Neodiprion lecontei: one gene and its partners. The protein of the gene in region 3 purifies or fractionates together with the protein of the main gene of each other region. This does not show direct contact. Links are inferred from orthologs where the notes say so. Each region holds a gene or a part of one and is shown on either strand. Other genes may lie near its edges.

Region 1 (3,659 bases), on a different chromosome or scaffold from region 3:
CACTAACGACTTCTATGTAATGTTGTCTAGCATTTTATTCATGTGGCTAGTAGCGTCATTTACCAAATGTAAAACAATGATAACCTGACACAATTCCGAACGATTTTCAATTAAAAGAGCAACTGGCGTTATGTGATGACAAATTGGGTGTTTCAATAGTAAAGACATTAACTTCTGCTTCTAGATAGATTTGACAAAGTAAAGCTCTAGTGAATAGGTAAGTTTTAGTTTAGTCACCGGTACACCAAATACTTGGAACATACAAAAGTGTAACTAATCAGTCTGAGATTCAAATTTTCGAGTGAGTGATGTTCTCAACAATTATCGACGATTGATTTGTATCACATACAAATGCAGTTTGTTGTTAGATTTTCATTACGTAGATTACATAATTTATTAAGAAACTGTGATGGTCAGATGATTGAATGTAGTCATTGACAAATTAAACCACGAGATGACGTTGAATGTAAGAGAGTTTACTTGCTTGTAAATTAAAAACGAAGCCACCGCTAAGCGTCATCTATAGCCCGTGAAAAAATAAAACTATTATGTATACATACTTGTACACCGTGCCTTTGGTTTATATTACTCCACTCAATCCTATATACCTAATCCGTGAAACAATTTCAAGTCCTGCACATATGAATGAAGAAACGTATCCCAAGATAAAAATTTATTTACACATAGAATTCAAACGTAATTCCTAACTTAAGTATCTTTTATTATCTTATAACCGATTTGGGCCATTGATTAATCATCTGAACTTGTCACAAACTAGTCATTTAGATGAATGTACAAACATCCCAGGATCAATTGTCACACTTTACATTGGTCGCCACTTCCTTCCGTGCCATAAATTATGTCAGTCCATGGATCGGATAATATGTTACATTTTCGAAGTACAGTAATTAGTTCCCATTACATCACCAAGCCTAGAATCCATGCATTCAAAACTAAATGTTAAAATCTAACATTCAATTAACAGTAAAGATATGTAAGTTCGAAAATGAAAAAAAAATGTATACAGAATAATCTAAACAGAATCTTACCAAGGAAATCATCCATTAAGGTACCAATGGCAAACTGAAAATGATTCACAGGAAAATTAATGAAATAAGTTCGTTAAAAAAATTCTTTGTAAATCTGTGTACTTACAATCCCTGTCGCATCAACTCTGGTACCGACAATTTTTAATCTTATTTCGTCATCTGCTTGAATTACTACATCCTGTAATTGAAAGAATAACAAATTGATTATCCTTAGATTGTTTCAGAAGAAACCTTCGAAACAACCTTCGATGTTCGATAAGAAATAACTTTGGGAAATGTTTCTATGAAGCACTAACATCGTGTACATGTTAGTTCAGTTATTTTTTGACATGAATTTTACTATCATTATGATTGTACCACGATAAATTCATCTTTTTGTATAACGTAACGTACCAAAGCCATTGCAATATTTAGCTAATTGTTTTATAATCAATAAAAGGTATTTCATATTCTTTGACAACAATGGCTTGTTCTCAATGACAAATTTTAATAGAAGATAGATAATAACACGAATTCAAAAATATATATTTCAGAATCAAGGCTAAATATTATTTTATCGTTTATCAAAAGCGATGTTCATAATTTTCTAAAACTAGCTAAAATTTGTATAAGCAAAAATATTATTTCCACAGAACATCACAATCCAATATCGAATTTCATAATAAATTTCTCACCTCTTCCTTTGACTTATAACAAGGTGGATTGACATTTGGACAAAATTGCATGTCGGCTGGAATGGACTGAAATAAAAGAAAACGAAAAATTTAGGTTTACATCAAATGATAAATGGGAAACAAAAAAAATACTCACGTGATGAGATATGAAACAAGACAATGGTCCTATTTCAGCGAACATGCCAACCTACAACCGTAAGACATACACAGAGTAATGTTTGTACGATTATGATCAAAACTCACATATCAACATAACAACTTGTTATACCTTATTGACTTGCGTTACGACTGCGTCCAGAACCTCTCCTTTGAAAGGTCGAAAAACAATAGCCTTATATTTTACGGGATATACAACGAAACCTTGTCCTGGCTGAATAATACCAGCTCCAATATTGTCTATCGTTGTCACTGCGACGACAAATCCATACCTATAGAAATTCGAGGTGAATAATGTTTTGTAAGTGAAATGCTTGACGTAATGGAAAATGTTGTCATTTATAACATTTAAAGTATAAGAATAAAGGCAGTTCCACTCTGTTCGTAATGTTTTGCGATGAGAAATAAGATTTGCATAATTTCAATCGCTATACCTGACTTCAATACCTATTTTCAAAAGCAATTCAATCAGTTATTAATTATCACATACTTTCCAGTGCACGTTCCCTCGACTTCAGTGTACAGTTTCTGTTTAACCGTATCAAGTAGCTGAGGTCCAAAGTATCTCGGATGCAACAAGATCTCATGCTCCAACGATATCTGTAATATGATGGCAATTTTGAGTCAAATCAACTCGAACTAAACACATTTCAATGCGAATAAGATAAGAGGAGGTTAACTTACGTGATAAAACATGTTGTTTTTTACCTCCGTTAACGGTCTTCAGCTATCCAACTTATTACTTTTTTTTTGTATTTACAGAATCTCTTGAAATCGATACCCTACTTTTCAGAAACTAAGTCTGACAGAATCTGTCACATTGGGGTTATGTTCGTACAGAATTACGCCGCGAAATGTGACTATGCGAGTGACCGTTGGAGTAACGCGGCAGTCAGGCGCGGGAAAATTGCTGCGCATGCCCAAAAAATAGCGCACGTTTGAAATTGTGGAACGTAATATTTCACGGAAAACCCATGATTGAAGATATATAAAGACTGATAGCCTTATGAGACTTTTCCTAATCGAAAATGGAAGAAATAAACTCATGTTCAAGCGGCGCCACCTGCATCCTACCTTGTACGCGCAACTCAACAGCGTAGCTGATGTTACCATCGCTCATCGAATAGTCGAATATAATTATGCCTATGGAATGACGAACGGGAACAGACTGAAATTTTCATACAACTCCGTGTGGACGCCGTATACCTACTTTTCAACTACGCAAATTCATTTAGGCCAAATTCAGCAATATCAATTTAAATCCATCGCATCGACAAAAATAATGCTATGTATATAGATGCACAATAAACATGCACTTGGTTTACTGTTGACAGAGTTGGAAACCGTTTCTTGATGCAAGGAATGGGAAACAGTCGAAGAAGTTAATCAAAGAATAGAGATATATAATTGTTCCTATATGTACCTTATGTAATTTTTGTAAATATGTTTAATACTTAACTCGGACCGTTAACTGAAGATAATAATATGTATCTTCAGTCAACGCTCATACTTTCATTTCAAAAAAAGATGCAGCTGAAATATAAAAATAATTTCTTAACTGACATCAGGGTTCCGTGATTTTATTATCGATGAAAGATGACTGCTTTAATTATAGATGAATGATGGTCGTTTTAATTATATATGAAGGGTGATCGTTTTTATCTTATATGTAAACGGCAATTAACTTTGGAAGTTCGCGCACGGTTTTTTTTTCTTATGAGGTACGAGGTAATCACTAAAATGGAGAACCTGGTGAATACGCAAAACAATCTACAACTAA
Region 2 (3,758 bases), on a different chromosome or scaffold from region 3:
AGTCCAATTTCGAGCTTTGGAGGTTGGACATAATAAAAGAATCAGAGGTTAGGATTTTTTTGCGTTGAATTTTTTACGATTAATTTGTCAAGAGGTTCTTACAATCCAACGCATTATTATTGGCTACTTGTATCTCGACGTTTTACACCGACAAATAACACGTTATTAATCAAACCTAATACGTACAAAAGGAGTTATTGTAAATATTGACGAGACTCGAAAGATACCGGTACGTCCTCAATCAAAAATTGTGTAACTCAGGCCTGGAAAGCTAAGAGTCCTCACTGAAATGTATAATATATCAGTGCTTTTATGTATTTTTAGGAAATTATCTATTAAGTCTCTACCTGTTATTTTCTTCGAATTCGACAAGCGTGTCAATTGGGAAACTGTTGTTCAACTCTAGATATAGGTATCTTATTCTAGGTGGTCTTCGGATACGCTATCTAGTGACCAAATTCAACATCTGACCGTGAGCGCGTAGCTCGAATTGCTAACAGCTGACTATGTATTTGTTTATGTGGAAATGTTAATATTATTTTTTAGTTTTTCGATTAATAATTAAGATTTAAAAAGTGAATAGTCGATCCAAGTCATTGTTTTGATTATGGAATTCCCTGCGCGAAAAAATAAAAGTAACGTGTATTGCTGTGTGTTTGATTGTCAATGTAAAGCTTATGGTGATGAAAAAATCAAGTTTTTCCATCTTCCACATCCCAATAAAGATTTCGTCGATAGAATCAACAACTTTGGTGATAAATACAAAAGCGATAGTCGCGTAGCTTGGACCAGTGTTGAGAATTGGAAAAAGTGTAATGACCAGTATAAGATCTTTTCACTCCATTTTAACAAAGACAATTTTTACCATCATGTAATAGCTGTTGGTTCGACTCATTCTTAACTTAAGAAAATAAGTGTTCCTTCTCAAAATATTCCTCCAGGATCAACTACAAAATATACTCGTCATGTAAATTCTAGAGAAGAAAGAATACGTAGGAGATCACTTATAAACAAGGTACTGACAGCTGAAGGTACTGAAGAATTGAGTCTTGATAAAAAAAAAAGGAGAGGACATTTTATTTCAATTATTTTTATAGATTTAAAATCATCGAATACAATAGCATCAGGTGAGCAACCGAGCTAAGGATTATTGTGTGCAATAATAAGACTGCATTCAACAACTTTGAACTGTGTGGAATTTTCATAAAGCTCACATGCTGTGGGTTCATTTTAAACCATGTCTAGTATAAGTATTACTTATCACAGTTGGATAAAAATACTTTAATGATTTGTACTACCAATCGAGTTCTTATTTTTACTATAAGTAAATAATCTATAGCTTGGATCACTTCCTGTAATTCTAAATTGTCTTTCTTTCTCCCAACAGAATAAAATTCAGTAGTTGAGCAACTCCATTTAATATTGTTCGACTATTTTCTTACAGCAGTTCTGAAGAGGATTAACATCAATTTTTTCTAGTTTATCGAGAAAGACTGAGGACTTTTGATTACTAAAAACAGCTAGAATTCTTCCTGAACAAATGATAGCACTATTGTTATTGCTTGAAACTTGGATATACTCATGTCTTGTAATTCTGTAAATAAAACAGAAAGAGAGAAAAGAATATTATAAAATAAAAACACAACATCATTGAAATTGTGAAATAATTTATTAATAATAATTTCATAATTAGATTTGACAAAAAAGCGTAATGTTTTTAAAAATCAATTTATGTAGCAGTTTAATACTCTTTCATAAAACATGATTATTTGTAAAACATGCAATCAGGCTTTGAAAAAATATGTAATGCAAATAATAGGAATTTGTAATAGTGATATATGTGTAAAAAAATCAGGTCAAAAATTGATGATAAAAATGTAAAAATAAAATGTCAGCGTAAAATTTACACGTGTAAAGCTAGAGCAAAAAATTGTACTTCTTGCTTTTCAGACAGCTGTAAATTTTCATTAAAATCCATCGATTCAGTGTTGTTAACATCTCCAGCTTAAATTTCTTTTGTTCCCTTATATTTTAAGCATGGAAATTTTTTTTTTCGCCGATAAAAGACACTCATGTTCATGTAATGGCTTGCCTTCTATTTTTCTAATGAAGATTCATGAAGCCAATCCATACACATTTTTTATGAGTGCAAGTAATCATTGGCAAGCTCTTCAAATCATTGCTGTAAAAATAAAAATCGATTTTAATAAATTAATTGTTGGAAAAATAAAATAACTGTTATAGGTTATGAATGTGACAAAATATCTTACCGGTTGCAATGGAGTAATACTGCGACGTGTTTACGAATGACCTGCCTTATAAGAAGAACTCATTCCAATTATTCGACCGTCGTTTATTATTTGACCAGTTATTTCATAGGGATTATTTTTAATATAATGAATAATTAATGTTTGTAAACAAAAAGCTAAAACACTTATAACATTGCAACCACTGATTGGTACTTGTCCACATTTTATCACGTGTCCAGCATTTAAAACCCTCACCTCCAATGAAGTTTTTATTGCTTGGCTTTGTGCAAGCAAATTCACAAATTTCTTGTAGACAAAATTTCATTTTATACATTAATTAAAATTACAAAAACAAAATCACCCGATACTGCGTTATGTACAGCATAACTTACTAACTCTAGTGCATATTTTCACCGCTTGGTTCAATTTTATAGTTAGGTAGTTAGGTTATATAATATAGTTATACTTCCCTGTCATCTGACTCGCTTCGAATTCAATGCTCGCACGTGTTCGTCGTGATATGCGCGTTTCTTTCCTCGCAAATCGAGGTTATGTTTAGTCGAAACAAACAAGCAATGGGGAAAATCAAAAAGGATAAATCTAAGACGTGGAAACCGTTAAAATTGGAGGGTGCCTTTTTTGCTGAAGGTATTGACGGCCTGATCGGAATTGAAGAATTGACGGATTACAGTCTCGAAAAAGGAACCAAAAAACGAAAAGCAACTCGCTCCGATGACAAATTAGACAAGGTAAATGGTTTCCTGCATATTGAAATAATTTTAAATATCTCTAATACTATACCTTTCACCGAACAATGGTCTCAATATTATGTACAAGCACACGAAATAAATATCAAGATAACTCTGGTACGATAGAGCAGCACTTCTTCTTTCGAGAGTTAAATCACTACCGATAACAGATGATACATATTAAGGATATTGAAGGGATTGAGAAATTTGTAAAACTTACAGTATCTGGACAATATTAACGAACTTTCGCAGTGCATGAAAGGAAAATCTGCTTACAGCATAGTTTTAGTTGATTGATTTATGACGTGTAGTCAGTAACATTACAGAGAATAACCAATAGCTCTGCCAATTTTCTTTAATATTAATAACAAGAAAATTGAATCATATTTAACAAACAAGGGTAACAAGAAGAAAAAGGCTCAGAAACTCGATGACCAGATTGACAATGACGAGGAAGACGAGCATTCAGCTCAAAAGAAAAAACTTAGAGCAGCTGTGAAAGGAGAGAAAGTGAAGCCGAAGAAGAAGAAGCAAAAATTCGACGATAAACGTGGTATAAAGCAATCTGATCTAATTGAAGAAGAGTCTGGTATTGGATCCGATAGCGAATCTAATTTGGATAAAAACGGGCATGAGGTTGACGCAGAGGATGGATGTCTGATCAATCTGGACAATCTAAAATCAGATATAAACGTACATTCATGGACTTCGCTGGGTGTACCTGAAATATTGGTAAAAGCATTGGCTGACCAAGGTTTTC
Region 3 (3,758 bases):
TCCACTTTGATGATCAATGGATGGCAAATGGATTCCCTAACGGTTGAATTAGTATTATACAAATTTTTGAATAATCCGTATGGAATTCAGCCCACCATAGGATGAAGGATAATGGACGGAAACTTCTTAGAATTGAGGACTTCTTTTGAACATAAAGAAAAATGACGCTTAAATACAAGTTTTTCGTCATATTATTTAATGATCTTTTACACCATATAATTGTAAATAATAATATACTTTCGAAAAAATGATTTGTTCTTCATTTAATGTGTCAAACATTATTTTACTCGTCAAAAACTTTTTTGTGTGACGAATATATCGTTAGATCTAAATAGCATATATTACGCAGTTCAAATCTAGCGCGCATTTTGTGACAACTTTCTGTACAAGATGGCGGAAATTCAATTGTTCAATTGGACGCACGAGCTTACACGTAGAGTATACGGTAACATCCAATCCAGTGTATATATATATTAGGTCTAAATCTAGCGGACACTTTTCGAAGGCCTTCATATTGGTTCAGAATCTAGTAACTTTTGTTTGTTCCGTGATCCGTCGTGATGGGTGCTGAAAAGTAACTAGATTTCGTACACAACGAATACACAACGAGCCTTAAGGGTAATATTTCATGAGCAGTAAAAAGCAGCAGTGGTTTAGTAACTTACTAGTTTTCACTAGCATTAGTCTGGTAATTTTACGCAGCACCAGCGCTGCTCATGAAATAGGTCGTAGCTTCTTGTGATCTTGTGGCTTGTCGCTCGAAAAACTGAACTGCGAGCAGCAGAAATTTGCGCCGGAAGTGATAGGGGAAAACTGCTAGTGCTGCTGCTTCTTACTGCTCATGAAATAGCACCCTAAGGCTGGATTCATATACGCGCCGTGGTACGGGTGCGGTTGAGAGGTAACGAATCACAATGTTTGAAATATACTGTTCACTGGATTTTATGCATGTTTATTGGTTCCCGCACAACCGCGACGTTGCAGCTATGCGAACCCACCCCAATTTTGACTATGCACGCCGGATACTGAACAGTCAGCCAGCAGCGCCACTTGCTAGCGTTAAAATGTGATGGCAAGCTGCTGGTGTGATTATGTTAATGCAAATCTTGATGGTTTCGTGTGCCGATAATTTTTAAAAATTCGTAGAATATTATAAAAATGGCAGGTTTCACTGAAAGTGCGTTGGTGAAAAAATTACTGGATTTAAACCCGTCCCAGCAGAGCATTCAGACCTTGTCGTTATGGTTAATTCATCACAGAAAACATCATCCAACGATCGTCAAAGTTTGGTACAAAGAGATGTGCAAGGGTAACTATTATTTTCTGTCACGTACAGCCAAACCATTCATCCATCCTTTTGTTCAATATATCTGAAAACAAGGAACCGCTACCAATGCTGATGAAAATTTACGTTGAAGACAATTAACGCAACATCCTAGGAATGTCTTTAACTTTTCAGCAATTTTGAGGTTATCTCCAAGTGATGTAGATATATTCGTTCAAACGAAATGAGATAAAAGTGTATATAAATTTAATCATGGTGGTTGTATTGAACGATCTTGATAAGCTGTGCTTAAAAAGGAGATGAAACTGGTTTTGAGTTCGTGGATAAAAATTCTGCTACTGTATAGTTTCTGTTACCACATGAATTGTGAGGCTATTACCAAGATAGTTTCTACAGAGTTTATGTTTGCAGAAAAAAATCCCACATTACCTGATTGTGAAGAATTAGTTTCTACAGAAAGTAAAGCCTAATTTGTTGCAGCCTTAGAAGTGATAGAGTCATCTTCCTCATGTTTATCAAGGGATTGTGTATCGTGATTTTAGATATGCTTATTTCGACCTTTAAAGTGTTGCAAATCATTGAAATGCAGTTTCTGGACGAATAATTCTTGAATGTAGAAAAAGACCTTATAGAAAAAAAACTCTTGGGAGCGAACACTGCAGAGACAGTCCTTTCCAAATGGATCTGGCAAAAATTCACTTGTGAGCAACGGAGCCAAATGCTATCATCTGCATTCTCATGAATAATATTTTTTTTTTCAGTTGTATTAGTTTATCACACACATGGAATAGTCATAGACATTATATCCTAAATGTATCTATGCTTGATATCTGTATACATCGAGCTGTGGAAAATGAATGTGCATTAAATATTGCTCATGAATTATTCATATCTTCAATATTGATTTTGAAATTATTTGACAAAAATGTTTCATCGCACATAAGATCTATGCTATGTCTATTTGTGCTACAGAGTGAGTCTACACGGGTTGCTCTAAATTTTTATTTGCAAATTTTTTATCTGGTAAGAGTGGTCAAGTCTGAATCACGAACATATCAATCCAAAACTTTTGTTCCCCAACAACGGAGCTACGTTTCATATATATTTTATAACTGTGAAGAAAGTAGACACCGATGCATAGTTTCGATTTCATGTTTCTTACGATATTTTCAAATAGCATCAAAATACAATAATTTACGCAAACCCGAGCAATGGTATAACTGAGGCTGATCTTATTGTAACCTTATTGTCATTCAAAAATTAACGACGGACATCCGTTCGGAGTGTTTGAAGTAACATGTGTTATTTGATGGTGCGAATAGCTATAGCTTGAAATATATAGATAAAAATACACCAGCTGACCAAACTGCAATAATTTCGAATCAGCTTAGCTAATGTCTGAGATGCATTAATTAAACTCACAGTAGTCCAGGGGACTCTTGCCTTTATTTATGTACTGTAGTTGTTTATTACTTGTTAACAATACGGAAAGAATGTTTGAAATACTATAATAGTTATTAGTTAAAAGTTGATAAAATAAGTTAAAGTTAAGTTATTCTCAACTAGTATTCTCAAGATTTTGCATTTCTCCGATTCCTGTTGAAAAATAATTTTTCTTCATCGCTTAATTTCATATTATTATTAAGATCATTTCTTATGCTGTCCATAGAGTCCGTGTGTAGTAGTTTGAAAATTGAAACAATTTTCTTGAAAAACATGCAGCGAATTCTTGAACACTTCGAAGAAAACCAGCATTACACATATCAAATAGATACCCTGTCTGTTTTTCATGTGTTTGTGCTTATTCAAGTCCTGAATTTGGATTTAATAGTTGACTTCATTATTTATACCAGTTTTAGTCTTTGAGCTAATTTCTTGAATGAAAATTCTAAAACAAGGTTCAATTTCCATGTAATCTGCAAGTGTATCTGTGCAAAAATTTCATTCTACTTGCTGCTACTGCAACTTTCTGTGATTATGGTCATTCAATTGTGCCTGGGTTAATGACTGGTCTATTTATCTTACCTACATTTTTAAATTACAATTGCATGTAACTAAAAATTATGCACAATCTTTGTACGAATCGGAAAGAATTAAGTAATAACCTTGTTTGCAGCCAAAAACAACCGTAAGCTGATATTCATGTATCTCGCGAATGATGTGATACAAAATAGTAAAAAGAAAGGGCCAGAATTTGGCAAAGAATTTGGAAATATTCTGCCGAAGGCTTTCGAGCACATGAAAAGATTTGACGACAAGACAAGGGAGAGATTAGGTAGGCTACTGCAAATATGGGAGGAAAGAGGTGTCTACGACAAAGTGCAAATAACGGAGTTCAAAGCAGCTTTTGACTTAGCCGTTGAACCTGTTAAAGAACCATCAACGCCACCACCTAAAAAAAAAATTAAAATTGAGGTTGAGAAGGTGTGTAAAATAAAGGTACAAACAATTTTAATTCACCTTTAATATTAGT

The links.
Region 1: the proteins of regulation of nuclear pre-mRNA domain-containing protein 1B (region 3) and DNA-directed RNA polymerase II subunit RPB7 purify together in Homo sapiens (affinity purification with mass spectrometry; 3 studies listed by BioGRID and IntAct, counting the BioPlex papers as one, with this or other methods). This does not show direct contact. The link is inferred for Neodiprion lecontei from reciprocal best matches to the Homo sapiens genes RPRD1B and POLR2G.
Region 2: the proteins of regulation of nuclear pre-mRNA domain-containing protein 1B (region 3) and GPN-loop GTPase 1 purify together in Homo sapiens (affinity purification with mass spectrometry; 3 studies listed by BioGRID and IntAct, counting the BioPlex papers as one, with this or other methods). This does not show direct contact. The link is inferred for Neodiprion lecontei from reciprocal best matches to the Homo sapiens genes RPRD1B and GPN1.

Annotation. Positions count from the first base shown.
Region 1 is NC_060263.1:8,226,897-8,230,555, forward strand, and holds DNA-directed RNA polymerase II subunit RPB7, read right to left. Parts: upstream 2,847-3,659; 5' UTR 2,576-2,846; coding exon 2,564-2,575; intron 2,480-2,563; coding exon 2,370-2,479; intron 2,152-2,369; coding exon 1,992-2,151; intron 1,911-1,991; coding exon 1,860-1,910; intron 1,790-1,859; coding exon 1,724-1,789; intron 1,228-1,723; coding exon 1,156-1,227; intron 1,084-1,155; coding exon 1,050-1,083; intron 933-1,049; coding exon 919-932; 3' UTR 659-918; downstream 1-658. UniProt on the Homo sapiens protein: Core component of RNA polymerase II (Pol II), a DNA-dependent RNA polymerase which synthesizes mRNA precursors and many functional non-coding RNAs using the four ribonucleoside triphosphates as substrates.
Region 2 is NC_060262.1:18,441,588-18,445,345, reverse strand, and holds the start of GPN-loop GTPase 1, read right to left. Parts: upstream 2,642-3,758; 5' UTR 2,584-2,641; coding exon 2,505-2,583; exon of another isoform or gene 2,271-2,504; intron 2,183-2,270; exon of another isoform or gene 2,093-2,182; intron 448-2,092; exon of another isoform or gene 348-447; intron 285-347; exon of another isoform or gene 187-284; intron 87-186; exon of another isoform or gene 1-86. Other genes in the region: ATP-dependent RNA helicase DDX24, read left to right, coding at 2,801-2,998, 3,398-3,758. UniProt on the Homo sapiens protein: Small GTPase required for proper nuclear import of RNA polymerase II (RNAPII). May act at an RNAP assembly step prior to nuclear import.
Region 3 is NC_060260.1:20,828,994-20,832,751, reverse strand, and holds the start of regulation of nuclear pre-mRNA domain-containing protein 1B, read left to right. Parts: upstream 1-1,046; 5' UTR 1,047-1,158; coding exon 1,159-1,309; intron 1,310-3,401; coding exon 3,402-3,724; intron 3,725-3,758. UniProt on the Homo sapiens protein: Interacts with phosphorylated C-terminal heptapeptide repeat domain (CTD) of the largest RNA polymerase II subunit POLR2A, and participates in dephosphorylation of the CTD by RPAP2. Transcriptional regulator which enhances expression of CCND1.